4 linked regions of the Arabidopsis thaliana genome follow. The protein of the gene in region 3 interacts with the protein of the main gene of each other region in a pairwise test. Each region holds a gene or a part of one and is shown on either strand. Other genes may lie near its edges. The genes, in order: AT3G24490, AT4G12850, FRS5 and AT3G59470.

What was found.
Region 1: the proteins of FRS5 (region 3) and AT3G24490 interact in a two-hybrid assay, tested with the Arabidopsis thaliana proteins (one large-scale study listed by BioGRID).
Region 2: the proteins of FRS5 (region 3) and AT4G12850 interact in a two-hybrid assay, tested with the Arabidopsis thaliana proteins (one large-scale study listed by BioGRID).
Region 4: the proteins of FRS5 (region 3) and AT3G59470 interact in a two-hybrid assay, tested with the Arabidopsis thaliana proteins (one large-scale study listed by BioGRID).

What each region holds. Positions count from the first base shown.
Region 1 is NC_003074.8:8,905,588-8,912,723, forward strand, and holds AT3G24490 (Alcohol dehydrogenase transcription factor Myb/SANT-like family protein), read left to right. Parts: upstream 1-4,834; 5' UTR 4,835-5,434; coding exon 5,435-6,436; 3' UTR 6,437-6,636; downstream 6,637-7,136. Other genes in the region: MSH7 (MUTS homolog 7), read right to left, coding at 6,831-7,136.
Region 2 is NC_003075.7:7,533,469-7,540,850, forward strand, and holds AT4G12850 (Far-red impaired responsive (FAR1) family protein), read left to right. Parts: upstream 1-3,505; 5' UTR 3,506-3,596; coding exon 3,597-3,956; coding exon of another isoform or gene 3,957-4,013; exon of another isoform or gene 4,014-4,613; coding exon 4,614-4,808; 3' UTR 4,809-4,975; coding exon of another isoform or gene 4,976-5,434; 3' UTR 5,435-5,580; downstream 5,581-7,382. Other genes in the region: AT4G12840 (GTPase Der (DUF707)), read right to left, coding at 153-251, 342-422, 510-602, 693-746, 835-901, 986-1,051, 1,147-1,263, 1,339-1,440 and 6 more; UNE14 (EF hand calcium-binding protein family), read right to left, coding at 4,976-5,434.
Region 3 is NC_003075.7:17,905,024-17,913,554, reverse strand, and holds FRS5 (FAR1-related sequence 5), read left to right. Parts: upstream 1-3,811; 5' UTR 3,812-4,150; coding exon 4,151-6,343; intron 6,344-6,679; coding exon 6,680-6,853; 3' UTR 6,854-7,041; downstream 7,042-8,531. Other genes in the region: CSLD4 (cellulose synthase like D4), read left to right, coding at 1-329, 432-2,040, 2,149-3,459; FRS9 (FAR1-related sequence 9), read right to left, coding at 7,116-7,283, 7,365-8,531. UniProt on the Arabidopsis thaliana protein: Putative transcription activator involved in regulating light control of development.
Region 4 is NC_003074.8:21,976,297-21,983,371, reverse strand, and holds AT3G59470 (Far-red impaired responsive (FAR1) family protein), read left to right. Parts: upstream 1-2,532; 5' UTR 2,533-2,843; coding exon 2,844-2,844; exon of another isoform or gene 2,845-3,239; coding exon 3,240-3,829; intron 3,830-4,072; coding exon 4,073-4,273; 3' UTR 4,274-4,562; downstream 4,563-7,075. Other genes in the region: AT3G59480 (pfkB-like carbohydrate kinase family protein), read right to left, coding at 1-269; AT3G59460 (F-box/LRR protein), read right to left, coding at 5,189-5,218, 5,311-5,460, 5,848-5,859; AT3G59455 (Bifunctional inhibitor/lipid-transfer protein/seed storage 2S albumin superfamily protein), read right to left, coding at 6,242-6,532.

The sequences.
Region 1 (7,136 bases), on a different chromosome or scaffold from region 3:
TGATTTCATAAAAGATATGTAGAAGTATAACACTGTTTTAAAAACCCAAAACACTATTATAAAACCCATACATTTTCGAATCTTTTATTCATTCTACAAACCCATACACTATTATAAAGCATGGATACAAATAATTTGATAACCGACTCCATTAAGGTTTATAATAAATTATAAGAATTTCGCGACACCTAACAGCCTAACTACCAGGTTTTATAAAAATCATTAGAAGGAGGACCAAACGAATCGCTTTAGTAATCAAAAGATTAGTTGTCTAATTAAGTTTGCTTTTGGAGCTTTTTCTTAGTTATTGCCGCAATGAAGCACACCGTGTGGGGACGTTTTGACACATCAGGTAATGTTCTCATAGACCAGCGGGATGTTCGAGGCTTTTAGGTCGCCGACATGTGTCGATTTTTGGATAGTCGAATTTAATAGTATATTACTTTAACGAAACAAATATGTAGAAAAATAACCATATGCTTTTTACTTTTGCATAATCACTTCTGTTCAAATTTACTTGGTATCCATGGTACATCATCATGTAAAACATTCGTTATGAAGTTTTTAAATAAAGTTATGTTAATGATTCGTGCCAAAAGGAGCACATTTCGCCAATAGCCAAAAAGAATTGTAAGAACCGAATTACAATAGAGTATTTGAATTTGTATTTTTAAGAAGTCATATGTTTTTTATGTTGAAAAACAATGTGAAGGAATTGAAGTCATCTAGAGTGAGTCGAGACGTATATTAAACATTCAAACTAGTTTAAGAAGTATGTATAACTCGTCCTATACACACAAGTTTTGTATCCTGACACTTTTTCTTGTGGGCCAAAAGGTCCCATAAATAATGCAAACTTCACTAATTCACGAGATCGTGTCTCCATATGAAGGAATTATACAAGTATTCAGATCTTGTTACAGTGTAAAATATTGAAAAAGGTGAAAGTGTTGCACTAAAAATCAGCCGTTGATGATTGATGAAGGAGCTTAGTATGGAGGATCTAGAGTGAACCATGCAAACATATACATATTTTTGATTATTTTATTAGATTTGTACGTATTGTATATAAATTTGGAAATTATGCATAATATGCATAGTATTCTTTTCCGTGGAGAAACATATAGATTTCTCACCTGAGCTTATATGAAAGTAACCACTATTTTTCTCATCACAAATCTCGCAACACTTCTTAATATGCTAGTAAAACTATAATGATCTAACGATTGGTACTGTTTTATTCTTTTTAAATTTTAAACCAACTGCTATTTTTAATACTCAAACATTCACTTTCTTAAAAACCAAGTGCTTCTAATTACTCTTAAAACCTAAATTATACATTTGAATCTAGGTTATCACTTCTCTTGTTAAATCAACAATGCTATGCGGTTAAATTTTGTCATGAATTTTTGATTTAAATAATAGAACGAGGTGATCAACATTTTCATCTGTTACCGGCTTCGTCTATATGAGGAGGCCAAGTGAAAGAAGTTATAATAACTAGGTAGGTCGCATGGTAAGTTTCCCATGAAGTCTTCAACGTCTTTTGTCCACTTGATTGTGCGCTAAATACTGTGTGAACATTCATTCATTATCTTAAGAACCCAAATGCTTTTAATTACTATTTAAACATAATTTGTACATTTGAATATAGGTTATCGAGTTTCTCTTGTTGAGCCAACAATGCAACATCTTTATTTCTGCCATTTTCAATTTAAAGAAAATGAATAAAATAAAATTAAGTATTTTGTTATTATATGCTTAGTCTTGTTAATGTAATTATAAGGAAGATAATGTTCCTTAATAGACTAGATGTGATTCATGAGAACCATGCACAAGAATTCAAAAACCCTAGAAGATTCGATGGTAAATGACGGATCAATTAGCAAAATATTCATGTACATTTACTATAACGCTATTGTATCTCTAGGATTATCGGGTTCTTGTAATGGATGATACACCACAAACCTTTTCTATATTTGTAATGCATTATGATTGACAAAAAAATAGTGTTCCTTGATTTTTTTTCTTTTTTTTGTGTGTGCATCAAGTGTTACTTGTTAATTCATTATTCATTTCATTATGTTTCTCATACACTCTAGCCATCTCTGTTTTTTTCACCAACTAATCATACAATTTTATAAATTTGGCGATTTTTTTAAAAAATAAAGACTCTATAGTCTATTTTTGATAATTGTATGTAACATTATGTACTATGAAAATATCATGCAATTGTGAAGATGACAAGGTTGTCATATCTTCTTATGAGGTAAGAAATTATTTCTTAGAGTATATGATCATTTGCTATTAGTTGTATTTTCTATCCTTCTATAGATATGTGAACTTCATTCTCTAGTTGAGTATGTATCAGAGTTACTTTTACCTTCCAGTACTAATGAATCTGGAAGCTCACACAGAATAAAAGTTCTTGCGTAGAGAAATACAAAATCTTAGTGCTTAGATGAACATTTGACCAGTGAGGTGAAGCAGACCACTATGGTTGAGATCATCTACTAGCAACCAGACCATCCAAAATCTCTTTTCTTCTAACCAAGAGACCAAGTCAGTGTCCCATCAAATTTGTTTTTTAATTTTTATTTTGGTTAAATATCAAATCCTTTATAACCAATTTCTCTTTTCTTCTCCATCCAATAAGTCTTTTCTATTTGGAATCTCATGTAAATCAAAGTGCTTTACAACTTTTTGGCAAACATTTTATCTTTAACACTAGACCAAAAACTTCCTCATTAATTAACTAAACTATATATATTATTGGCAATAGAGCATCCTGCTTTCGTAGGAATCCCCTTACCAAAAAAATCACCGAAGATACTTTTGGACTATATATTTGTCAAATCAATAAATAAAAATAAATAAAAGATTAAGAAATAAATGCTCAAAGCCTCAAAGTAAAGACAAAAGACAAAAAATTGGTGAAAGCAACATAGTTGGCATTGGAGTGAGCGAACGTAACCACTCATAACGCGTTTGAAAGAGATTGTTGTCAAAGACTTGAGAAACTTCGTAACGGTTTTATGATCACTCATTGACTCTCTCTCTCCGTTACACTTATGTTCTCGACGCGACCTTCCAACCATAAAATACTAATTTCATTTTTATTTTCACTTCATCGATATCTTGTGACATGTAATATGATTGGCTTATCAAAAATCTTTCATACGAATTTTCAAGTTTGTTCACATCTCTCTCCCAAGATATCCGTTTAGGAGCCTAGGACCGTTACTTCACTTTATTATTTTCATGTGGAGGAACTGTAATATATATCACAATTTTGTTGTTCTTGTTGATTGTGTAAATAGTAGTACTGGATACTAAAGAACAATGAGTATGTATCTCAAATATTTAGCTCAACCGTTTTATAAAAATACTATATTATTACCTTAAAATTGTTTGTTGCTTTATCAGTATTAGGTAATTATGAGATGTCACTGTTTAATCTATTTAAACGTTTTATGAGTTACATTAATGAAAAAAATCTGAAAAGTTAAAATTATACGAATACATACCTGTCTGACTCTACCTACTGAATTTTGTAAAACAATTTGTTATATTTTATAAGAAAGTTGATGTTGTAGTGTTTACTGTCTCATAAAAAACAATCTCTATTTATTTGATTTGAGACTTGAAATTTTTAAAGCTTGTTTTAAACTATACTGTTTTTCTTATAAAAAAATTGTATTAATTTTTTTTATAAATGAAACTGTTAAAAAAAATTGAAAATTTAGAGATCAAAACTAAACCTTTATAATCATTGAAATATATTGGTACATCTACCCACAAAACAGGTCAATCGTCTAGGTTTAATTATAATTAAGCCTAACATGTTAATGAGATTCAAACGAAATTAAAGTCCACAATGCCAACTCAACTCAAGTATCAAATCTTTTTCTTCTTTTTTTACTTAGCAGGAATACCAAACTCAAGTATCAAATCTTTTAAAATTTATTTTTTACTTATGTCAATGTGGGAATGACCGAGTTACTTAAGAGTTATGATTAATATTAATTCTTGTTTCTAACCAATTCATATATCATTGTCTTGGAAGCTTCTTCATATCAATGACTCAACTCTTAATTTTTTTCGAAAATCTGTTCTTACAAGGTCACACAATTCAATTTTTTTTTTGTATTGTAAATGTTTATCTCGTTATATTTACACTAACGAGATTTAAACACCTAAAATCAAATTGTACGAGACTAGTGTTAGTTATTCAATAGTATGATGCATTGATGCAACAAAATTCGTTGCGATTATTTATGATCCTTATCACTACCATGATCATTTCCATTAAGGTTATACTTACTTCCTTTTTGATGCATAATAATTACTCACCAACATTGAAGCGTGGTCGACATTTTCATTGGCAATAAGCATAACATTCATTTATTTATATTAAAACACAGAAACAAACAATTATTAAATAAAGAGTTCTGGCATTTCTCTATTTTAGTCCACTTAATTTAATACTATCATCTTCAAACAAGATTTCATCATTAATAATTTAAAAAATTATACGTTACATAGTGTATTAAATGAATTATCGTTGGGATACACTTTCACATTTTTCAAAAACGTATGAATCATAATGTGACACATGGAGATTTCCCACAACCGAGGCTCCCATAGTAGATGCTTATGCAATTCATATTCTTGCAGCTTAAACTCTTGCAAGTTCAGTAATAACACCGTGATATGAAAAATAAAACTTAGCCCTTTTTAATTTTTGAACTTATTCAGATTAATTAAAAGCATACGTAGCATATTTAAGAATATAAAGCAGAGAATCAAAATAACATATTGTTTCAATGGCACCCATTTTAGCTAGTCGATCAGTAACTGCATTCGCAGATCTTCGAACCCACCAAAAATCGACAGCTTCAAATCCTTTGAGCCAATATGACGCTAAAGGTCAAAATATTATGACCCTAAATGTCAGAAATTGACCCCATAAGTCATAAGTTAACCGACACCAAAGCTGATATTCGTTAGAGTTTAGACTCTCCTTTTCTTAATGATCGTTAGTTTTAGTTGGGAACTCTTGGGCTATCGGTTAAAATTAAATAATTGTGGTCCTCTTGGCCCATTAGTGCTGTCCAAACTGGCCCAATATGACCCAGTGGATGGTCCCAACAAACGCCGCGACAAAACTCCGTCGCTGGCTGAGGCAATGTTCACCGGTGGTGGTAGCTTTTCTTCTACTCCGACCCGGCTGAAAATGCAAATCCCTAACCCTAGACACGGCCATGGTTTATAAACCTCATCAATTTCTTCTACTTATCTCTTCTCAAAGCTAAACCCTCCAAGATATTCCTCTATTAGGTGCAAAAATCAGGTAAATCTCTATCTGTCCGATTTGAAACCCTAGATCTGCCTTTCTTCTCTCTTCTTTTGCTTTTCTGGGTTTTGCTCAAAGATGGGTGACAGCGAAGATGAAACAGGATACCCAAAAAAGTTTTACTCTTTGAATCGGCAAAACCATCCAATGTATAGTAGACCAATACCTAAGCGTCACGCGTATTACAATGAAGAAGAAGACGAAGATGAAGTCGAAGGAGAAGAGGAAGATCCACAAGGAGGATACATTCGTGGAAATGAGAGGTTTCAGAAGAGACAGAAACCAAACAAAGTAGTTTCTGGGTTTGAATTTGCTGGTCCTAGTGATGCTAAAGTTGCGTATGATTGGAGAGAGCAAGAAGCTTTTGTGTTGCTTGAAGTTTGGGGAGATAGGTTTTTGCAATTGGGTAGAAGGAGTTTGAGGAACGAGGATTGGAATGAAGTAGCTGAGAAAGTGAGTGAGGAGCTAAGGATGGAGAAATCTGAGACGCAATGTAGGAGAATGATTGATGACTTGAAGAGGAAGTATAGAAAAGAGAAGATTAAGGTTGAGAAATCAGGTTTAGGTTCAAGTAAATGGTCGTTTTTCAATAAGTTGGATATGTTGCTTTGTGTTTCGCCCAAGTCGGATTTAGGTTTAGCTTGTGGTGTTGATTCAGGTGAGTTTGTGTTTATGAACACTAAGGTTTATTTAGATAAGTCTAATGGGTTTGATGAGATGATGGATAGTCCTGGTGATTCTGAAGAGGAGGAGGATGAGGATGATGAGGTTGAGTACGAGAGGAAGAAGGTTAATGACGCTGCTTCGTATAAGATGTTGGCGGATTCTGTTGAGAGGTTTGGGAAGGTTTATGAGAAGATGGAGAAGAGTAAGAAAGAGCAAATGAAGGAGTTGGAGAAGATGAGAGCTGATTTTCAGAGAGATTTGGAGTTGCAGAAGAAGCAGATTGTTGATAGAGCTCAGAGTGAGATTGCTAGGTTACGTGAAGAGGAGGAGAATCATCATGGTGGTGGTGATGATGATGAGAGTGAAGATGAAGAAATGGAGAATGATTCTGATGTTAATCTCAGTGATGAGTAAGTTATAAACTATGTAGGTTTGTGTTGTTTGTAGATGCAACAAAATATGTTCTGTTTTTTTTTTTGGTTTTAGGGAATTCAGAACTTAAGTCTTATAAGTTTTGTAATTTGTGTTTGGTCTTTGCAACTTTAGTCGAGGTTATTTGCAGTTTATCTTGAAACTTAAATTAATGCATAAACATATTTCCTTCTTAATATACTGTTTGTGAGTATTTCTCTTGACCAATCTCATGAACATACATATATTATATACCATAGCTAAACCGACAGATACATATATAATCTTGTTATAATCGAGGAAACAATTTTTTGATATATAAGCATTTTTTAAGAGGAATAAACATCAGAGAAGCAAAAGACTTAACGAGCTTCAGATAGTGTTATGTCATAGCCATTTATTTGGGAACACAGTAAGAGGATTTGATCTCATGCCATAAGCAAAACAAAGTGTCGTAGTCATCTTCGCCAATGGGGGCATTGTTGTGGGCGACTCGAGAAATACCCACCAATGACTTGAGCCAGTCTTCATGCAGACTTGAGAACTCAGATCTTAGCTCACTTGACTTGAAGTTTTCCCCAATTGATCTCTTCATGGCTTGAGCAGCACCTGATGCTGTTTCAACCACTTGGTTTGGTATTCCAGCCATGAGTGCCACTTGAAGTCCGTAGCTCTCAGGACAAGCTCCCTCGGTTAAACGGTA
Region 2 (7,382 bases), about 10 Mb from region 3:
ATAAAGTAGGAGATTCTCCAGTTCTCTAGTACAAATTTGTAACATCCTAAAAAGAATGTAGCTTGATCTACATGTATACCTTCTCTTTTGCTTCCTTGAGGTATGCATGTGCTTTCTATATATGTATAATTGTGTCCACAACAAGCAATCTTTCATGTTTGGAATCGGTCTATCCAGCACTCATCGTTCTTCACAGCATTTTTCCATCTATGTTTAAAAGTCTCTAACTCGACATAAGTTTGCTTCCGAACCTAGGTAATGATCATTGTTTTGAATAGAGATTTTAGCTAAAACAAAGCACTCTATCATCTTTTTAAATACCAAACTGGTTAGAAACTTACCTCAGTTCTACCAGTTGACACTGATGATGATTTGTCTGCAGCATGCGGAGTCTTGGTCTTATCGAGCTTCCCTGAATCCGTCTGCTTATACACAGTAACTATAATTACTTCCTAAATAAAACTCATGTAGACTAGTATGAAGAAATGACAAGAGAACCAGTTTCAAACCTTGTTTTCAGCTGAACCTCCTCCTAATGTAGGAAGACCCATATGAAGTATATACTCGGAATCAACAATACCGATATTTTTGGTTCGATCACCCTATGCCAAGCAACAACAACAATACTAAGAAAAAAACAAAACCAACAAATAAAAGAATGTACATATTAGCTTGGCTCAGTCACAATTTACCTGTGCACAATATCCAAGCTGAAAATCTATACCCCATCCATGGTTTAAGTCATTCTATAAAAGAAAAAACACAAAGTCAAGTATCCAGATGTTGATGGTCTTCATGAGTCTGTAACATAATTAGTTCAAACATATGAAATACCTGAATCATATGCCATGTACACCTCCAAGCTGCTCTGGAAAACACAGGAGCCATCATTTCAACAAATCTGTAGGAGAGAGTTTTTTTTAATGAGTTTAAGAACAAGTTATGCTTTCCACTGAAGAAGGAAATGAAGATTCAGTTCTTTTACCCTGTGCAAGGAGGTCCAGTGCTATTCTCGTTGCACCTCGCCCGACCAATGACTTTGTATGTTCTCCTTTTAAACATCAAAACGTTGTAAAAAGATTCATTCTTACAATCTCTTTTCTTCTCTTTGCTAAAATTTTTTCTATTGGAGCTTGAGAGAAGTACCTATGTACTCTTGATTTCTTGTCTCGTGAGGTAAGTTGATGATGCACTTCAGAGAAATTGGGATCAAGAGCAGGTTGTGATATTTCAAGCTTTTCTTCTTTAATAATTGAAACATACCTGAAAATTTTCATCTCATTAGATACCACATCTTTACCAAGTGACAAACAATATATTCTTTGTATAACATTGTACCTTCTAGCATCAAAATGGTCAACACCGAGATCTTCATCCCATAGAAAAATGTAAGAATAAGCTGAGACAATATCCGGGTGTAGAAAACGCTTTGCAAACCACCTAAAAGAGTCACAAACATATTCAAACTGTACAGCCAAATGTAAAAAATCCTCGTCGGGTTTTACGATTATAACAGAACAGTTACCATTTGGTTTGGTTTACTACAGAAATATGAATGGCAGTGTCACTCCACTCAAACTCCTTCCATTCATCCACAGCACCATCGTAGTGAAACAGCATCACAACAAACTCACTTGATGGAAACTGCCATATAAGAAAGTGGAAAAACAGAGATATCACATCAAAACTGTTTCATTACCGAGAAGGTAATGTCCGAGGTTTTACCTTCTTGACAATCTTGTTGACACTTTCCTTTTGTCTTATTCCAACTGCCATAGCTAATAAGCTTGGTTTCGGTTTCTAAGCAAACAAAAACAGAAAATATAGCGTTAAAGGAATGACAACAGAGAAACTTGTGAACGTTTGGCAACAGGTAAAGATACCTTATCGCGCTTTGCTCCCCATAACGGTCGCATTTCCAAGTCAGATGTACTTGCAACAATACCTCGCGGTAACGTCTCGCTACCAGGAGGCCTAAGTTGTGTCTAATTAAGCAAAGCAACATGAAAAAATGTTAAGATTCATATAGAAAGGGAACTTTGTTTTGAGCAGCTTATTCAACAGACCTTGCACATCTTTAGTTTAGCAAGATTTAGTCTAATTATCGAACTCCATCCCGCGATACCCTGTCAATTAGTACACTCAAAACTGTTCTATAACATTATTCAGATTCAAGATAATGCTTAAAAGTTGCAGTCTAAGAACTCATACCTCTTTATAGTCTACTGTAATAAAAGCATTCCCTATAAGGAAGATCATTGCAAGAAAAAACACTAAAGAGAACAAGCGACGAAGAGACAAGCCCTTTCGTTTTTGATTCATACTTAATGATCCCTGAAAAGGCAACGAATAAAGAAGATCCATAACACATTAAACTCAAATCACAAGAACCTAATCAGTATTTAAACCCAAACACACACAAAATGACATTAATAGGGAAAGTAGTATGATCTCATTGAACAACAATGCCACAATAAAGATTCAAGATTGTGAAAGACTTGAGAGTTTTAATTGTGTAAACTCATAACGATCCACAGTTTCGTAGAGAATGGGCATATAAGTAGAACATCAACACATGAAGAAGATAAAAGACTTGAAATTTCATGATTGAAAACTTCAATTGGATTCTTGAGCTAATGAAATTTCAGAACTTTTTTGGTTTATTTCGACAACTTTTGAATCCAGAAATGGCAAAATGGGAGACAAACAAAAAGAACTAAACAAGACAAGAAGAAAAGAACGAAGAGCAAGAGAAAAAAGCTTACAGAGCTCAAAATCTTGGGTTTCTTGTTCATTTTTCAAGAACAGTGGTCTAAATATAGCGAAGCTCTTTCTTTAAAATCAAATAAGTAAAGTGTAGAGTCATAGTGTTAGAATACCTTATTTTTGTCAGAATTGGTTATTTTACAAAATTATAACTACTACTTTAGTTCCTTAAAGTTAGCTTCGAATAGGAAAATAAAATAAAATTGGGTATGAAAGCAATTACTGTAAGAAGGTCAACAAGTCAACCGTTTTAAACAAAAGTGATATTTTACTAAATTCGAAATCGAAATTTGCGTGTAGGAATCGTCGCAAAAGAAGGTTTTTATGGCTTAAAATGAGTGACCAAATGTCATTAAAGGTTCGCACGTGTATTGTTTTGCTATGCATTTCTCCACTTTATATAAGTAACGTATGATGCGATGTCCATGTGACCAGCTTTTGCTTAGATTTGTTACAAGAGAAAAGATCTAAGAAAATTAGGGTGAATAATATAACAAATAATTTTCTTTTCACTCGGAAAATTATACAAATTGTTTTAGGGTCAAATTTATCTTTATAGGATAAAGTTATTCATTTACATCTACATTGAAGAAGAAAATAAAATTTGGATTAAGGTATATGAGGAGCAATGTAAGATACATTAAACCGGTTCGTAAGATACATTAAACCGGTTTAATGTTCAGAAAAATCGAACCGGATTAAGTTTTAGGAAAATAGAACCGGATTAATTTCGTGAATCAAACATACCGGATTAACAGAGCTTGATCTGAAACTTAACGAACTCGATCCATAAAGGGTTTTGTTTTGTGAGTTGGATCTGGCTTATTCCGATGATGACCGGAGATCTGAAACTTGATGAACCTTACGTAGGTTTGAAATTCGAATCAGAAGAAGAAGCTAAAGATTTCTATGTAGAATACTCCAAAAGATTAGGGTTTGTTGTGCGTATGATGCAGAGACGAAGATCAGGTATTGATGGAAGAACACTAGCGAGAAGATTAGGTTGTAACAAGCAAGGCTTTGGTCCTAATAATCAACGATCATCTAGTTCTAGTTCTAGTTCACGAGAAGGTTGCAAAGCTACGATTTTGGTGAAAATGGAGAAATCTGGGAAATGGGTTGTTACTAGATTCATCAAAGAACACAATCACTCTCTTCAATTCATTGGGTCTTCTTCTTATGATTCTTTTGTACGTTTTCAAAGTTTGTATCTTTGGGTCTTTTTGATTTGCTTTGCTATTACATGACTTGGATGCTTGAAGAAGACAGATTTGTGTTACTGTTTTTTGCATCTTTGGTTCTTGTTTGCTACTACAAGGCTTGATGTGTTGAAGAAAGAGTGTGCATCTTTGGGTCTTTTTTATTTGCTATTACATGACTTGGTTGGTTGATGAAGAGAGATTTGTGTTATTGTTTTTTGCATCTTTGAGTCGTCAAATTTTGATTCTTTGGGTCTTGTTTTGCTATTACAAGACTTCGGTGGTTGAAAAAGAGAGATTTTTGTTACTGTGTTTCTGCAGCTTTGTCTCTTGTTTTGCTATTGCAAGATTTGGTTACTTGATTTGCCATTACAAACACTTGAAATTCCTTTGTACGTCTTCATATATTGCATCTTTGGGTCATCTTGATTTGCTATTACAAAGACTTGGTTGCTTGAAGAAAGTGAGGTTTATGTTACATTTTTTTTTTTTTTTTTGCATCTTTGGGTCTTAATTTGCTATTACAAGACTTGGTTACTTGATTTTCCTTTGTACGTCTTCCAAGTTTGCATCTTTTTGGTCTTTTTGCTTTGATATTACAAGAATTGGATGATTGATGCAGAGAGATTTGTGTTACTATTTTTGTAGGCTGATAAGGAAAGGAAGATTAAAGAGCTTACGGAGGAGATCGAGTGTCAGGACCGATTATGCGATGTGTATCGGGATCGATTGGTGAGTTTTATCGATAATGTTGAACATTATACGGAAGAATTGTCACTTAAAGTTCGAGATATTGTGGAGAATGTTAAGAAACTTGAATGTCAAATACAAACAAGAGCTTGATTCATCTATAAGCATTTGTCGAAAAATACCGAAGATTGCTCCTCCTTAGATCATAGTTTGTCCTAGCATTGAACATTCAATTATTTTAGCAGAAAACTAGTGTTAATTAGGCAAATTCAAAACATACAATTATCTATACAAAAATTATTGTTAAAAAAAGGGAATGTTTAATTGGAGCTAAGAGCAGCAAATCCACCACCTCTCATCATTTGTTTGAACTCCTTAAAATTAACCATACCATCTCCATCAACATCAACCTTACTTATCATCTTCTTGCAATCTTCAAGTGTTCTCCCTTGCTTCAACCCCATTGACGCGAGCACCGACCTCAGCTCTTCATCTGTAATGAACCCATCACCATTCTGATCAAATACTCTAAAGGCTTCTCTCATGTCCTCTTCTTCCTCTTTCTCTTCCACCATTTCTTGATACAATGATCCAAACTCATCGATATCCATGGCCCCGTCTCCATTCACATCCATCTTTGCTATCATCTCATTGATTTCATTTTCAGGGACCATGATTCCCACGCTTTTAAAGAAGTCTTTCAGCTCGTTTTTCGCAATCTTCCCGTCTCCATTCTTATCGAACATTTGGAACACTCTACTCAATTCTCCACGATCCATTCTTTATTGAAACCTTGATGATCTTTAAGCCAAAAACTAATGGAGAAGAAGAATCAAGATCAACACATAGATTCTAAAAGGAAGCCTAAGCAAGTGAAATCTTGTAACAGTTTAAACAAAACAGGACGTCGTGAGAAGACAGAAAATTTTACTAAAAGAAAAGACAGATGAGAGAGAGCTTAACGGATTCTGTTGATAGATTCAACACTTTTGGATCTTTCATTTTTCAGGCTAAAAATAGTTATATATGCCTTGAAATAGACTCTATGAATCATCTAATTCTGACACAATTAAGGAGAACCCCACTAGTTTAACCATAATTACTCGCCGAGCAATGGAGACACGAAATAGTAGCATGTTGAATTACATCGAATATTCATTTGTAGGTTGATAAACAAAAGAATTAAACTATGAAATTTGTTGCAATCAACCTTCCACGTAAAATCGTAAAAAAGAGACCTTGTAAGTATCTAGCTTCCTTAACCCATTCATAAACCTTGAGTACTTTTTACATAAGTAGCCAATTGATAGGTTGGATGTAATTCTTCACAAATATACTCAAGAAAATAACACACAATAGATAAGCTAAACCAACCCTAGTTCTAACTATTAAGTTTATGATGATTCTTACAACACCTTGAGTAAAGAACACTCTTCAGATCAAGCTGAATATCAACTTCATTTTTTGATGCATGCATTGTTTACCAAGGTTAATAAGCAACAATTTTAACAAAAAAAAGGTTAATAAGCAACAACAAAAGCGTTTAATGCACCAGAAATGTTGAGAAGCATGTCTTATGGGTCTCTCTGTCCCTGATTCTAGACTCATTCTAAGTGTTTGTACACTCTCTGTCCCTGATTCTAAGGTTGCAAAAGAACAAGAATTAGCAACATCTCGATCACTTGAATTTTCCTCAAGCGTGGTCTTCACATGAATTTTTGCTCACATCTTCAAGGTCACAAGGGTTTATGTTTGACCTTTCTTCTTGCATAGTGATTATCTTTGAGTTAATATCAAATTCATGTTCCTGTTCAAAATGGGCCACTCGTATATATATATATATATAATATGTATTTAAATTGTGGATATGTTCGAATATCTGTTCGGGTTCGGATTGGGTTCGGGTTTTAGGATTTAGAAGTTTAGAACTCGTTCGGGTATTCATAAATTTTGGGTTGGTTTTGAATATGGTTTTTTGGATCGGGTTCGGATCGGGTAATCGGGTTCTGTATTATACCCACCCCTACTTCTCACTGTCAGATCTGAAAACATGAATATTCATATCAAACGTGTTACAAATTACATTATATCTTATGACATTTTAATTCAATAATAAATGGCAATAAGTGAATTGATTCACAAATCTCATCACATTTTCGTTGTGGGATTTTTTAACGTCTCTTTTAAATTATTAGATTTTTTTGGGATGAAATATGTCTGAACAATATTCAGGTTGGATTAATGTATTTTTGTGGTTTATTTTTTTGTCGAGCCTCATTGGCCATTAGTAAGTGGTGATGGCGGCAACATATTTTAACGGACTAGAACACATCCCATGTTTTGGTTCTGCTACCGTATTGAATGTTCATTCATAGACTCATAGTCCATCTAAACATATACAATGAGAAATATTTAATTGGTTCTGATAACATATACACAAACTTACAAAAACTAATTTAATGCTACTTACATATCTTACATATTTTCAACGGCTAGCTGAAATCTCCAACGGTATTCTTTTCATTTATTTATATATAAATTAGTCAATATATATAGCTTGTCAGCTAAATCCAAAGGTTGATATATGCTCGTGAGAGCTAATAATCATTCTTCAATTATCGATCTCATTTTTAAGAATTATTTTGCTACCTAAATTAAGTAGATGCACTAAAATTAGTAAAGCAAACTCATAATTGTATAGAGATTGCACATAAATTAAAATTAAAA
Region 3 (8,531 bases):
AGCGGAAGATATGTGAGTTTATCTCGAGATAATATAGAATTATCAGGCGAGCTCTCCGGGGATTATTCTAACTATACGGTGCACATACCTCCGACGCCGGACAATCAGCCCATGGCCACCAAAGCCGAAGAGCAATACGTGTCAAATTCTTTATTTACTGGTGGTTTCAACAGTGTAACACGTGCACATCTTATGGACAAAGTGATCGATTCAGATGTCACACACCCTCAGATGGCTGGCGCTAAAGGCTCTTCGTGTGCCATGCCTGCTTGCGACGGAAATGTCATGAAAGACGAGAGAGGAAAGGACGTGATGCCATGTGAATGCCGGTATATATTAATAAACACTAATTGATATCTTTTACTTGTTGCACAAGAAAATGAGGTTTAATTCTAACTAACCAACAAACGTGGTGATGATTGTCTTTGTAGGTTTAAGATCTGTAGGGATTGCTTCATGGACGCCCAGAAAGAGACAGGCCTTTGTCCAGGATGCAAGGAACAATACAAAATCGGGGACCTAGATGACGATACGCCTGACTATTCTAGTGGTGCTCTCCCCTTACCAGCTCCAGGGAAAGATCAACGTGGGAACAACAACAACATGTCTATGATGAAGAGGAACCAAAACGGTGAATTTGATCACAACAGATGGCTATTCGAGACGCAAGGCACATATGGGTACGGTAATGCGTATTGGCCTCAAGACGAAATGTATGGCGATGATATGGATGAAGGGATGAGAGGCGGCATGGTGGAAACAGCTGACAAGCCATGGCGGCCACTGAGCCGACGAATCCCTATTCCAGCCGCCATCATTAGTCCTTACAGATTACTAATCGTCATTCGTTTTGTCGTGCTATGTTTTTTTCTAACTTGGAGGATCCGAAATCCTAACGAAGACGCAATATGGTTATGGCTCATGTCTATAATATGCGAGCTTTGGTTTGGATTTTCATGGATTCTAGACCAGATCCCTAAGTTGTGTCCAATAAACCGGTCCACTGACCTGGAAGTTCTTCGTGACAAATTTGACATGCCTTCTCCCTCCAACCCAACAGGGAGGTCGGATCTCCCAGGTATTGACCTTTTTGTGTCAACGGCAGATCCAGAGAAAGAGCCGCCCCTTGTCACCGCCAACACGATTCTGTCCATATTGGCCGTTGATTATCCGGTGGAGAAGGTGTCATGCTATCTTTCTGATGATGGAGGAGCTCTTCTATCCTTTGAAGCTATGGCAGAAGCTGCTAGCTTTGCGGATCTCTGGGTACCTTTTTGTCGCAAACATAACATTGAGCCTCGAAATCCAGACTCGTATTTCAGTTTGAAGATAGATCCAACAAAGAATAAGAGCAGAATTGATTTTGTCAAGGACAGAAGAAAGATTAAGAGGGAGTATGATGAATTCAAGGTTCGCATCAACGGCCTCCCTGACTCAATACGGAGGAGGTCAGATGCATTTAATGCAAGGGAGGAAATGAAAGCTCTAAAACAGATGAGGGAGAGCGGAGGTGATCCAACAGAGCCTGTGAAAGTCCCCAAAGCCACGTGGATGGCAGATGGCACCCACTGGCCAGGAACTTGGGCAGCCTCTACTCGAGAGCATTCCAAAGGTGATCATGCTGGGATTCTCCAGGTGATGTTGAAACCACCTAGCAGCGATCCATTAATTGGAAATAGCGACGATAAAGTCATTGATTTTTCAGACACGGACACTCGTTTACCCATGTTTGTGTATGTGTCACGTGAGAAGCGGCCTGGATATGATCACAACAAGAAAGCTGGAGCCATGAATGCACTTGTTCGTGCCTCTGCTATCCTCTCAAATGGACCTTTTATCCTTAATCTTGATTGTGATCATTACATCTATAACTGTAAGGCCGTACGAGAAGGGATGTGTTTTATGATGGACAGAGGTGGTGAAGACATTTGCTACATTCAGTTTCCGCAAAGATTCGAAGGCATCGATCCTTCTGATAGATATGCTAACAATAACACTGTATTTTTTGACGGTAATATGCGTGCTCTCGACGGTGTCCAGGTACTGTATATATACTTATTTTTGATGCAATGCAAACCAACTATAGACAGATATATATATAAAGATCCTTTACCAAAAAATAAATGATTCTCTGTTTTTCTTTTCCAGGGACCAGTTTATGTTGGAACAGGTACTATGTTTAGGCGCTTTGCTCTCTATGGTTTTGATCCACCCAACCCTGACAAGCTTCTTGAGAAGAAGGAATCAGAAACAGAGGCTCTAACCACCAGTGACTTTGACCCGGACCTTGATGTCACACAACTCCCCAAGCGCTTTGGGAACTCCACACTCCTAGCTGAGTCAATTCCAATTGCAGAGTTCCAAGGTCGTCCATTGGCAGACCACCCGGCTGTCAAGTACGGTCGTCCTCCCGGAGCCCTTAGAGTCCCTCGTGACCCACTTGATGCTACCACTGTCGCAGAGTCTGTTTCTGTAATCTCTTGTTGGTATGAGGATAAAACGGAGTGGGGAGATAGAGTTGGATGGATTTATGGGTCGGTGACAGAGGACGTGGTCACAGGATACCGCATGCATAATCGTGGGTGGCGCTCGGTTTACTGCATAACTAAGCGAGATTCTTTTCGAGGCTCTGCACCCATTAATCTCACGGATCGTCTTCACCAGGTGTTGCGGTGGGCCACTGGGTCTGTTGAGATCTTCTTCTCTAGAAACAACGCCATTCTCGCCTCCAAACGTCTCAAGTTCCTCCAACGTCTCGCATACCTCAATGTTGGGATATACCCTTTCACGTCTCTGTTTCTCATCCTCTATTGTTTTCTTCCGGCATTCTCTCTTTTCTCTGGACAGTTCATCGTGCGGACGCTCAGTATCTCCTTCTTGGTCTACCTTCTTATGATCACCATTTGTTTGATTGGATTGGCGGTTTTGGAGGTCAAGTGGTCTGGCATTGGGCTGGAAGAATGGTGGAGAAACGAACAGTGGTGGCTCATCTCAGGAACAAGCTCTCACCTTTACGCAGTGGTCCAAGGAGTCCTCAAAGTGATTGCAGGGATCGAGATCTCCTTTACCTTGACGACCAAGTCAGGGGGAGATGACAATGAAGACATATACGCGGATTTGTACATAGTGAAATGGTCGTCGCTGATGATACCGCCTATAGTGATAGCAATGGTGAACATAATAGCGATTGTGGTGGCGTTCATCAGGACAATATACCAAGCGGTGCCACAATGGAGCAAGCTAATCGGAGGAGCATTTTTCAGCTTCTGGGTGTTGGCGCATTTGTATCCATTTGCAAAAGGATTGATGGGACGAAGAGGCAAAACTCCAACCATAGTTTTTGTGTGGGCAGGTCTCATTGCCATCACCATCTCTCTACTGTGGACGGCCATAAACCCAAACACCGGACCTGCAGCTGCTGCAGAGGGTGTTGGAGGCGGTGGTTTTCAATTCCCGTAATTAAAAAAGCATTCATATAGGCGACTTGAGAGTTTTGTAGACTAATCACAAGAAATTAATACGTATACTATCTTTGTTTCTTTTTGTTTTTGTTTTTGTTCCTGGTAGTAAATTTTCAGATAACTACATGTATATCTGGATTGAGATGTCATGACTGTATAAATCAGCCTTTGTATCAATCATTTCGTCTTTAAAAGTCAATTTTTCCTCTCCTCCACTCGCAACTGATAGTGAACCATACGGTAAGCGTAAAAGAGGATGGGCCTTATAAAGTAAATGAAGAGGGAGTGGGCCTTATAAAATTATAAATGAAGAAGGAATGGGCCTTATAAAATAAATGAAGAAGGAATGGGCCTTGCTTAAATTAAAAAAAGAGAATTAGAAGCACCGTCTGTCTTCCTCCTCCGTGCCCTCCGACGACTCTATTCCCAGTCTCCCTCCTCCGTCGTCTCTCATCTTCCTTTTCATTCTTCGGTTATTATAACGTAATCAATTACAAGTTCCCTTATCTCTTCTTTTCTGGTTTCTCCCGCGCACGAACGCGCATTCCCTCGTCTTCGCTGCCTCCCAATCTCAATCTCAGACTTGAAATCAAATCACGACTGTAAGTGGTTCTATCTACAGTAGCTAGCTATTTCATCCTGTTGTGGACAATAGATAGATAGAATTCATCCCTGAAGACAAGGAGGATATGATGGATAATGAAGTGCTCGACTTCGATATTGGTGTAGGAGTTAGTAGTGGCGGAGATGTTGATGACGACGCTATTGATATTGAGCACCATGCTCTCGACGACGATGATATGCTCGACAGCCCAATTATGCCTTGCGGTAATGGTCTTGTTGGCAATTCTGGAAATTACTTTCCCAACCAGGAGGAGGAGGCTTGTGATCTCCTGGATCTCGAGCCCTATGATGGTCTTGAATTCGAGTCCGAAGAAGCTGCCAAGGCATTCTACAACTCGTATGCCCGTCGCATTGGCTTTAGTACCCGTGTCAGTTCCTCCCGCCGCTCCCGCCGTGATGGAGCTATCATCCAGAGGCAATTTGTCTGTGCCAAAGAAGGTTTCAGAAATATGAATGAAAAGCGCACCAAGGACAGGGAGATCAAGCGTCCCAGGACCATCACTCGAGTCGGTTGCAAAGCCTCCCTCTCTGTTAAGATGCAGGATTCCGGTAAATGGCTTGTCTCTGGCTTTGTCAAAGACCACAACCATGAGCTTGTTCCTCCCGACCAAGTTCACTGTCTGCGTTCCCACAGGCAAATCTCTGGCCCTGCCAAGACTTTGATTGACACACTTCAAGCTGCAGGAATGGGTCCCCGCAGAATCATGTCCGCCCTCATCAAAGAGTATGGTGGCATCAGCAAGGTTGGTTTCACCGAAGTGGACTGTAGGAATTATATGAGGAACAACCGCCAGAAGAGCATAGAAGGAGAGATTCAGCTTCTTCTTGACTACTTGAGGCAGATGAATGCTGACAACCCAAACTTCTTTTATTCTGTTCAGGGAAGCGAAGATCAGTCTGTTGGTAATGTCTTCTGGGCTGATCCTAAAGCTATAATGGATTTCACTCACTTTGGAGACACCGTTACATTTGATACAACCTACAGGTCCAACAGGTACCGTTTGCCTTTCGCACCCTTCACTGGTGTAAATCACCATGGCCAACCCATTCTTTTCGGCTGTGCCTTTATCATCAATGAAACTGAGGCTTCATTTGTATGGCTTTTCAATACGTGGCTAGCCGCAATGTCCGCCCACCCTCCTGTCTCAATCACCACCGATCATGATGCTGTTATACGTGCAGCCATCATGCACGTTTTTCCTGGTGCCCGCCATCGCTTTTGCAAATGGCATATTTTAAAGAAATGTCAGGAGAAGCTGTCGCATGTCTTCCTCAAGCATCCTTCGTTTGAGTCAGATTTCCACAAATGTGTCAATCTGACAGAGTCGGTTGAGGATTTTGAGAGATGCTGGTTTTCACTTCTTGACAAGTATGAGCTAAGAGATCATGAGTGGCTACAAGCAATATACTCCGATCGCCGGCAGTGGGTCCCAGTATATCTCCGTGATACCTTTTTTGCCGACATGTCCTTAACTCATCGTAGTGATAGTATCAATTCATATTTTGATGGTTATATAAACGCTTCAACCAATCTAAGCCAGTTCTTTAAGCTGTATGAAAAAGCTTTGGAGAGTCGTCTCGAGAAAGAAGTTAAAGCAGATTATGACACAATGAACTCACCTCCTGTTCTGAAGACTCCATCTCCAATGGAGAAGCAGGCGTCTGAACTTTACACAAGGAAGTTGTTTATGAGATTTCAGGAAGAACTAGTTGGAACCCTGACTTTCATGGCATCCAAAGCTGACGATGATGGGGATCTTGTTACCTACCAGGTTGCGAAATATGGAGAGGCTCACAAGGCTCATTTCGTTAAGTTCAACGTTTTGGAGATGAGAGCAAATTGCAGTTGCCAGATGTTTGAGTTCTCTGGCATCATTTGCAGACATATATTGGCAGTCTTCCGGGTCACCAATCTCCTTACACTTCCACCTTACTACATCCTAAAAAGATGGACCAGAAATGCCAAAAGCAGTGTTATATTTGATGATTATAATTTGCATGCGTATGCTAATTACCTGGAGTCTCATACCGTCCGATACAACACCTTACGTCACAAAGCTTCTAATTTTGTGCAAGAAGCTGGAAAATCTCTGTATACTTGTGATGTCGCAGTTGTTGCTCTGCAAGAAGCTGCCAAGACTGTGTCCCTGGCAATGAATAAGGAAGTTAGAAGAACTATGGCGAACAGGCATTTTAAAGCGAGTTCTGTAACTGGTGGAAAACATCAGCAAGAAGTGCTGGCGCAACCTGAGCCCGAGGTGAGGATCATTTTCTTTTCGATACTTGTTTTCTTTTTGATATAATAGCAATCAAATTTGTTGCTCTAAAAAATAGTTATATACGTTTGAAGTATCGTTTGTGCGGGTTTGCCCCATACAATACAATCATTGCTTTGTCTCCTTGACGGTACCATAATGCTGATTGCTCTGTTAACGTTTGACTAATGAGCTCGTGATTCACATATGCATGTTAAGAGTATGGTCTTCATTTTGCCATTGTGAGCCTTTGTTCCGTACAATCTGCAAGGTCCTCAATTTTGCTATGTGCTTTTACTGCTGACTAATTGCATGACCGTATTTCCTCTACTTTCGCAGGACGAAATGGACAAGAAGATTAATCAGCTCAGAAACGAGCTGGAATTAGCAAACAGGAAATGCGAAGCTTACAGGACTAACCTACTTTCAGTTTTGAAAGAAATGGAAGACCAAAAGTTACAAGTGTCCATCAAAGTGCAGAACATCAAAATTAGCTTGAAGGATAATCTGTGAAACAAGCAACAAATTCCGACTGCTATTCTCATCTATAACATATTGCTCATGTACTATATCTCTTATAGGGTTTTTGAAAGAGGGACCCAATTTTCAGGATTTCCCTGTTCTTACAGTAGGTAGCCTTTGTAATAGATTGTACTCCCAATCATTTCCTTACTGAGTAAGAGCATGAAGTTGATTCCCATAAATGTTTGCATACCAAGTTACCAACCACAGTACGTGAGTTGAATTGTGATGTTATGTATCCAGCAGATTGCACTCACTCTTTCAAGCTTAGTCTAGCATTTTGTACCTTGAGGGATAGCTGAAACTTCTGTTCTTCCATATCTCTCAAAATAGACAGCAGGTTTGCTCGATAAACTTCACATCGCTGGCCTGTCCTCTCCAACTCAGCTGTCAGTTCAAGTATCGTCCTCTCTTTTTCACCCTGGCATTGAAGTAAGTACTTATTCCCAAGGAACAGAGGACATCAATGTTAAAGAATTATCAAATACCAGTATTCGCTTACCCCTGGATGATTCGTTGCATTTGCTGTTTCTCGAGCTTCCTCGGACGGGTAAGCTTCCCCATTGGGAAGCCTAGTTCCAGGTGTTCTGTTACTTGCAGCAGCAACCTTCTTGGCAGCTTCATCCAAAGCATCCATTGCAACTTTATAGATCTGAATAGATTTGGCACCTTCCTCGACATACTTGGTTGCTTCTTGGCGTAGACTGTTGAAGCAGAGATTTAAAGATTCTTGACAGCCATTTGAAAACTCAGGTTGTTCCTCAGTGCCTCTAATCTTTGCTTCTTTGGTCCATCGCCTCAGTAGATACCGAGATGGAAGAGCAAGAACATTTTTGGCACTGAACACCGCCAATATGTGTCTACATATAATCCCTGAATACTCAAACATTTGACAGCTGCAATTAGCTTTCACCTCAAGAGAGTCAAAACTGACAGTATGACCTTTGTGAACTTCTCCGAACTTAGCGACACGATAAGTAGTGTGAGTTCCTGAATCACTAATTATATTTGCAGGAATTGCAAGGGTCTCAACAAACTCCTCCTGAAACTTGATGAATGCTGCCCTTGTATAGAGGCTAGCAGCTTGCTTTTCCATGGGAGAGGGCGTCTTCATAACTGGAGTAGAGTTAGTTGCTTCGTAATCTGCTTTCAGTTCTTTCTCACGCCAACTATCAATTGCTTTCTCATACTGTTTTATGAGCATTTGCATTGTAGTTGATGCATCCACAAACCCTTGGAAGAATGAGTTCAAAATGCTGCTTCCTTCATTTGTAGACAGCTCTCCATAAAAGGTGTCTCGGATGAAAACACGGACCCACTGTTGTCTAGCATTATAAATGGACTGGAGCCAGTCGTTATCCTCCATATAATATCTCCTGACGATAGAGTCCCAAGATGCCTCAAACTCGGCAGCCGTTTCTGTCTCAGTAACGCAATTTATAAATTCGGATTCAAAGGTAGGATGAGCCTGAAAGACGTGAGCAAGTTTCTCCTCAGTTTCCTCGAAGATGAGGGGCTGGCTGAAACGAAGGCGGGTTTGACTGAAAACTCGAGAAACAGCAACCTGTATCAGGCGATCTGGTTCAACTGTAATAGAAGGAGGAGGGGGAGCAGACATTGCTTGAAGCCAAGTTTGGAAAAGCCACGCAAAGGAGGACTCAGACTCGTT
Region 4 (7,075 bases), on a different chromosome or scaffold from region 3:
TCGAAATTGATACCTTCAGCAGAGACACCGTTCTGTTTCAAGATTCCGGCGAGCATGTGACCGAACTCGTCGTCACCGAGTTTTCCAACGAAAGCGGCACGACCGCCTAGACGGGAAATGGCGATGGCAACGTTGGCAGGTGCACCACCGGGGGCTTTGATGAAGCCAGGAGCATCGGCGAGGGATACACCGGAGACGGTTGGGACGAAATCGATGAGCATTTCACCGAAGCTCACGATCAAGCTTTTCTCGCCGTTAGATGCAGCCATTTTTAGTCGGAGTGTTTTGATCGGACGATTAAGATTGAGCAAAATAGAGAGAGATAGAGAGAGATTATGTTTTGGATATAATGAGAGGTATTAGAGAGAATCAAGGGTTTATATAGAGGTATTAGGGTGAGTGGTTTAGTCAAATCCACAAGACTTTTAATTAATACAAATTCAAATTTATCCATTTAAAGATTGATCAGATAAGATATCTAAACTGTGTTTGGTAACTTATTTTTTAATCGTAATATTCTATTGGTTGTTTACATATATGTTATGATTTGGTGAGATTTAGAGTAAATAGTGATTAATGTTTTTGACCAGATTTTATGCTTCTTCAATGGGACCTAGACGACGTATTTCACAAGGTTAATTTATTAGGGGCTTATCCGTTGTTAAGATAGTACTATTAAGGGGAGTAAAAGATACTATTAATCCTCCTCTTTTGACTCCGAATATTTTGTTTGTTTTGGATAACTTTCTTTTTCAATAAAATACCATTCATGGATAATTTTTTAGGCAAATCTACCAAAATCGAAATGTATTAATGAATGATTTGTTATAATTTAATTTCGCAAGGTTAATTACGAGGGGCTTATATCCGTTGTTGGATAAATATGTTAATATCCTCCTCTAATTTCGATTATCTCATTTGTTAGGATAACTTTTATTTCCGATTACACAAGATATTATCTCATGTAAATCTACTAAATCGAGAAATGCAAATCTGTTACAAATTTTATAAACGGGGCTAGCTTTGACATGTATGATCTTTTTATTTATCAGAGACTATCTACCAAGTACCAACACTATTTGGTTTCCTATTTCCCAAGTTATATTTTATGCATCAGTTATCACTACTAACTAACGACTATCCTTCTTCTTAGACGTTTTATTCCACGTAATTAAAGCGATTTATTGATTTCCAAAAAAAAAAAAAAAAGTGAAGAGAATTTTTAATAAATGCTAAATAAAATGGATATTTTAAAACGCAACGAAAGAAAACCATATGTTACAGATCTTTTTTTTTGGATTACTGATTCATATATATGTGGATGATTTATAATGTCTATAAAAATCTAGAGTTGCGAATTATCTAGGCATGACCAAAATCTAACTGTAACTGTATTTCGGACCGTAATCGGACCGTTTATTAACCGTAACCCAACCGTAACCGTATAAAACGGTTAATAACCGTAACTGTTAACCGTGAAAATAGATTCATTACGGTTAAAAAAATATAATAACCGTAACCGTATCAAAACCGTTGGTTAACCGTACGTTTAACCGCGCGGTTAACCGTATTATTAAAACCTTAAAAATATAGTTGTAACTGTGTATAATTCTAAATAAATAATTATTTTACTAAAATAGTAACTTAAATCGTTTAATATGCCCACTAATACGATCGAAGTTACTCCACTACTCTTTTTACCATAAATCAAATCATAAGTAGTTCATATTATTATTATTTATACTCTAAAAACTGTTTCTTAGTGCTCATAACATCTTTTCTTTATTATTGTTTTTGTTTGAAAAATATAATTAATTAAATCATTATAATTATAACCATTAATTTGTATATTCATTGGTTTATTTAAAAAAAATAGATAGCTGATTCGCTATAAATATTTGAAACACATAATCACGTAAAATAATTATTATTTGATATATCACTATTTATTTATTTATTTTATTATAAAGATTAATATAATATTTTGTCTCATATATTAATTATATCATAATTATCAAATAACCGTAACCGTATCTAACCATAACCGTATTTAACCGTAACCGTTTTAACCGTATATATAACGGTTAATGTTAAGGTTAAAAAAAGTTATAATCATATACGGTGGTTAATAAACCGTAACCGTAATAACCGTAACCGTGGTCATGCCTAAAACTATCTGGATAGGTTTCGATGATAACAGTGATATAAGCTAAATCATGAAATATAAGTAACTGAATATATTACTATGTAATAAGTTTTTTGCTATTCAAAATTTCTATGATTAAAAAAACTTAGCTAATGTAGTTTGGTAGTCAAATCGTATACTAAACCATCATTAGCTGGTTATCAATAGCATTTTAAAGAAAGTTAATTAAACCGGCTGAATTGGCCTGGTTGACACGAACAAAATGAATGCTAGAAATTAGAGAAATTTTGTTAGTACAAGGATGATTATGTAAATGAAGGATAATAAAGGGGTCAATTTTAACATTTATTAAAAGTCATGGACACACCGGTCTAACGGGTGCGTCGGTCGGCGAGAATTACGCTGTAAAAAATAAAATAAAATAAACATGTAATGAAAGAAAAAAAAAGAACATGAGGAATAATCATACGAGGCGAAGCGCACCGGAGGAACCATAAGTCGATAAACCCAAAGCTTAGATGAACGGTGAGTTGACTTCTTTCCGATTTTGACCCAATCATCTATCGCCACGTCATAGGGTACTGCGTCCTCTGCAATCCATACCCTGAACCGGCACCTTCTCTGTCTCTCCCCCAAATCGAAAACCTAATTCGATCGTCGTCTCCGACCTACATCTGCCGGAAAATATCTTTTGACCAGTAAGATTGTTTTATTCCTTACACCATTATTTCGGGTTTTTAATTTTCGATTTTGGATTGATCGATTAAGCCACTTAGACTAGTCCCTGCGAAAGAATGAGACTGAGAAGTTGGACATCTCGATACTTTTGGAAACCCCGATTTGTTGATGACTCTTGAATCTATGGGACGGTGAATCCCAAAGAATGGTTCCATTTTAAGTTTGTTTTGTATTGTTGGTGGAGGCTGGATGATTTTGAGAGCACTTGTACTTGAGCTTTGTTCTCATATCTTGAATTAGACAGTGGAATAGAAAAGATGACAACTTTGTATTAGTAAGATGATGAACACTTGTAGCTCTTCTTGCTAGATATTTGATTAGTGGAATTGCTGTTTTCCCTTTTTTTGAGTTGCAGTGGATTTCAGGATTGATAATGGAGTAGCTGCTGGGATGATGATGGGGATTCCTGTTGAGCTTGAGGTTACCACGGTTGAGAATCATAATGAAATGGGTGAAAGCTCTGGTCAAGCAATGATTGAGCAAGATGATGACAACCATAATGAACTCGGTGAAAATTCTGGTGAGCAAGATGAGAAGGTGGATCTTGATTCTATTCCTCTGGCTGTTGCAGATATGACAGAGGCTCAAGGAGATGAGCCTTACGTTGGCCAGGAGTTCGAATCTGAAGCAGCGGCTCATGGTTTTTATAATGCGTATGCTACTAAAGTAGGGTTCGTCATCCGTGTTAGTAAACTGTCACGGTCAAGGCATGATGGATCTCCCATAGGCAGGCAACTTGTTTGTAACAAGGAAGGTTACAGGTTGCCTAGCAAGCGGGATAAGGTTATTAGACAAAGAGCGGAAACAAGGGTTGGATGTAAAGCAATGATCTTGATTAGAAAAGAGAACTCTGGTAAATGGGTTATCACAAAGTTTGTCAAGGAGCACAATCACTCTTTGATGCCTGGCAGAGTTCGAAGGGGTTGCATTTATGATCAATATCCGGTTAGTTGTTACTCTCTTTCGTTGGTCAATATTTCTTTATATTCAGCCATTGCATTTGAAAATCCAAATTGGCGTTTCTTGGTTAGCTGGTTAATATATATATATATGCTGATGTGATACTGGTTCGTGACTAGTTGCTATATAGCATATTCATATTCATGTGCTGGTGTTTTGATTTTGCTTATATATCAGTTGTTACTAGAAAAGACTTAAATTCTAAAACTTTGCTCTCCTCATTTGCAGAACGAACACGACAAAATTCAGGAACTGATGCAGCAGCTAGCAGCAGAGAAAAAGAGAGCGGCTACTTACAAAAGACATCTGGAGATGCTATTTGAACAGATCGAACAGCACAACGAAAGCCTTTCTAAGAGAATCCAACACATAGTAGACAATGTGAGGAATCTGGAACAGAGAGATCATCAACAGAACCACCAAGTATAGTCTTTTGGTCTCTGGTTTTTCAGCACTTTGATTTAGGAGATAGATCTTCTCTTCCCCCATTTTCTCTCTTTAATAAAGATTTTTCTTGTCGAAAACAAAAGAGCTTCAATTGCCTTAAAGAAAGTTTTGTTTATTCTTCTTCTTCTTCTGTTCTGACATTGGTTTCGTTCGGATGATGCATAGCCATAGGTTAGTGCACATAAAGTGAAGGGTTTTTACTTTTTACGCTCTAATTAAATCGGCATTCTCCTGAAGATCTTTCTGCTGGTAAAAACTAGTAAGCTATATATACTACAGATTGGAAGAATCCTAAAACTCTATTTAAGATCACAAATCAGAAAGTGAAGAATCAAATCAGCTTGTTAATCACCACCTTTCATCGTCTAAGATGTTGCACTTGGATGAAACTGAAAATCCAAGCTAATGGACCACATATTGTGTAAAGTCTGCAAGAGTGGAAAGAAGTGTGAAATTGCATTGTAGGGACGATGTAGTCATCAAATACAGAAATGTTAATCTTATGCCAGGTGGAGTTTGACGAGGTAGGTAAGGTTACTCGTGTATCATCTAAGGGAGAGACTGCCAAAAGATACAGAAAAATAGCTCCCTGAAATTAAAGAGGCCCTTGCAACTGCAAGAGCAATGCGACATGTACATGAATTGTTACACAGAATAATTTGGTAAACTACATGAGATCTTGCATTTGGATGAAACCGAAAATCCAGGAAGCCTCAACTATAGACTATAGAACCCTTTTGGTTTGCAATACATGGTATTATCCACCACAGCTTCCGCAGCCTAGCACCACTTCACCGCATTCCGACTCCCCAATAAATTTATGTAAGCGTTCCACCTCTTCCGCATTTCCTCCATAACCATGAACATGCAGCATCTTCACTTGGAACGGAGGCATGGTCACATCGCCTGTGTAACTCTATCCAGCCCCTGGAAAAGCATCAAGAAGATGGATGTAAAGGCTCAACCACTAAGTCCCTAATCTCTGACTCTCTTTAGATATATTAGCTAATGATACGTACCTGGATGATTAGAGTTTCAAGCTTTGGAGACTGCTCAATCAGAAGTGGCAGCAGTTTCCAACCTCTTTTGTTCGTACTCCCAAAAGACAAGCTTACCAGATTGTTGAACACCGGTAGAAGTAGTCCACGTCTAACACAGCGAAGAATCACCTGAAACACAAACACACGCTCTTAGTGAATGTCCATGCAAAGAAAGAAAGTGGCAAACGTAAAGAAAATACGCTCATAATTAAGTATAGTAAACCGTTTTTCTTCGCTATATTAAGTTTTCAAACCCTAACATCATCAACTAATTATAGGATAATTAGGAAACAAAACTTTTTTTGGGGGATTTAAGGAAGTTCGTAACGACAACGTTATAAAGGGAAAACGATAATTTCTTGTGTCGTCATAACAATCGCGACATGTGAACTAATTAAACTTGTTATAAATACATTTGAAAGAGTCGGGGACCACACCCTTTAATAAACTCACAAACACGAGAATGGACGCCTGAGAGTTCTAGATAGTAGATACCATCTTTTCCCTTCTTGATACCATCTTGGCCATGTTTGTGTGACAGTTAATTATGAAGTGAAATCACAAGAATAGTCCCAAGGGCCAAGGATGTATGCATAATTAACGCGTACATGCCGTTTTCTCTAGTTTAGACTACTTTTTTTTTGTTTCTTTAAATAGAAGTAGACTACTTTTTTATTTCTTTAAATAAAAGCAAGTACAAAGTATCGAATTTGAAAGAGTGAAATAGTAATTCCAAAAAGCAAGAAAAACGTGGAATGTGGGAGAGATGGTTCATAAATATAATGAAGGCCAATTAGAGCAACAACTTATACGATTAAAAAAAGACAAGGAAAGACTTGATTAACTAATCTTATTAAGTATCTCCGGTTCGGCTTGACGACCGCTTATTGCTTTTGTTGGTTGACTATTTTTAGCCACACTTGAAATAGGACTTGAGACTTTGATTTAGAGGAACAGTCTTTCCACAAGAAGCCATAAGACGATAAGCTTCTTTCCATTGTACAGGATCTTTAATATACTTACACATACATGGTCCTGGTATTATTAGTCTATCACAACACTTCAACCACGTGGGTCTATCGTTCAACTTCAAATGTTGCATGCATAAATGAAGTGACTCTTTGCAATAAGAGAGCGTTGGAGTGGGGAATGATGTCAAGAGTACAACCAAGGCGATGAACATCAATGAAATGTTCTTCATTTTCTGATAACTTAGTATCTAATGTTGTATATATGTTTCTAGGTCTTTAAATAGAAAACTGAAATCAGAAACATGTGGCAATAATGAGAAGTGGTGATATTCTATTTTTACAAAGCAATTAGTATTCAAAACAAACCATTGAATAGTTCAAAAGGCCGATTCCATAGGAAGTGGAGATAAGAGCACTTTATTTGGTATTTTATTGCCTAATGCGAAATGCAAGCATCTTGATTCGCTAAGCCATTTAAAAATGATTGAACGTAATGCAAAAAAAAAAACGAATGTAGAAATTGACCAAAATTGTTTTCAAAAAACTTCGAGTGTTTGGTCGAACCATATAAATTGTCCCTTTATTTATTAGGCTCAAGTTAGTGACATTTATATATACTAGATTGTTTGTTGTTTTGGTAGGAGAAAAAAAACAAAACAAGCACCATGTTCTTGTATTCTCATTCACTATGTTAGAAAAGACATTGAAAATTTGCTGATCGCAGTAGTATGAATGAAGATTAAGCATTATTGGATGAATTAATCAGACAAAAA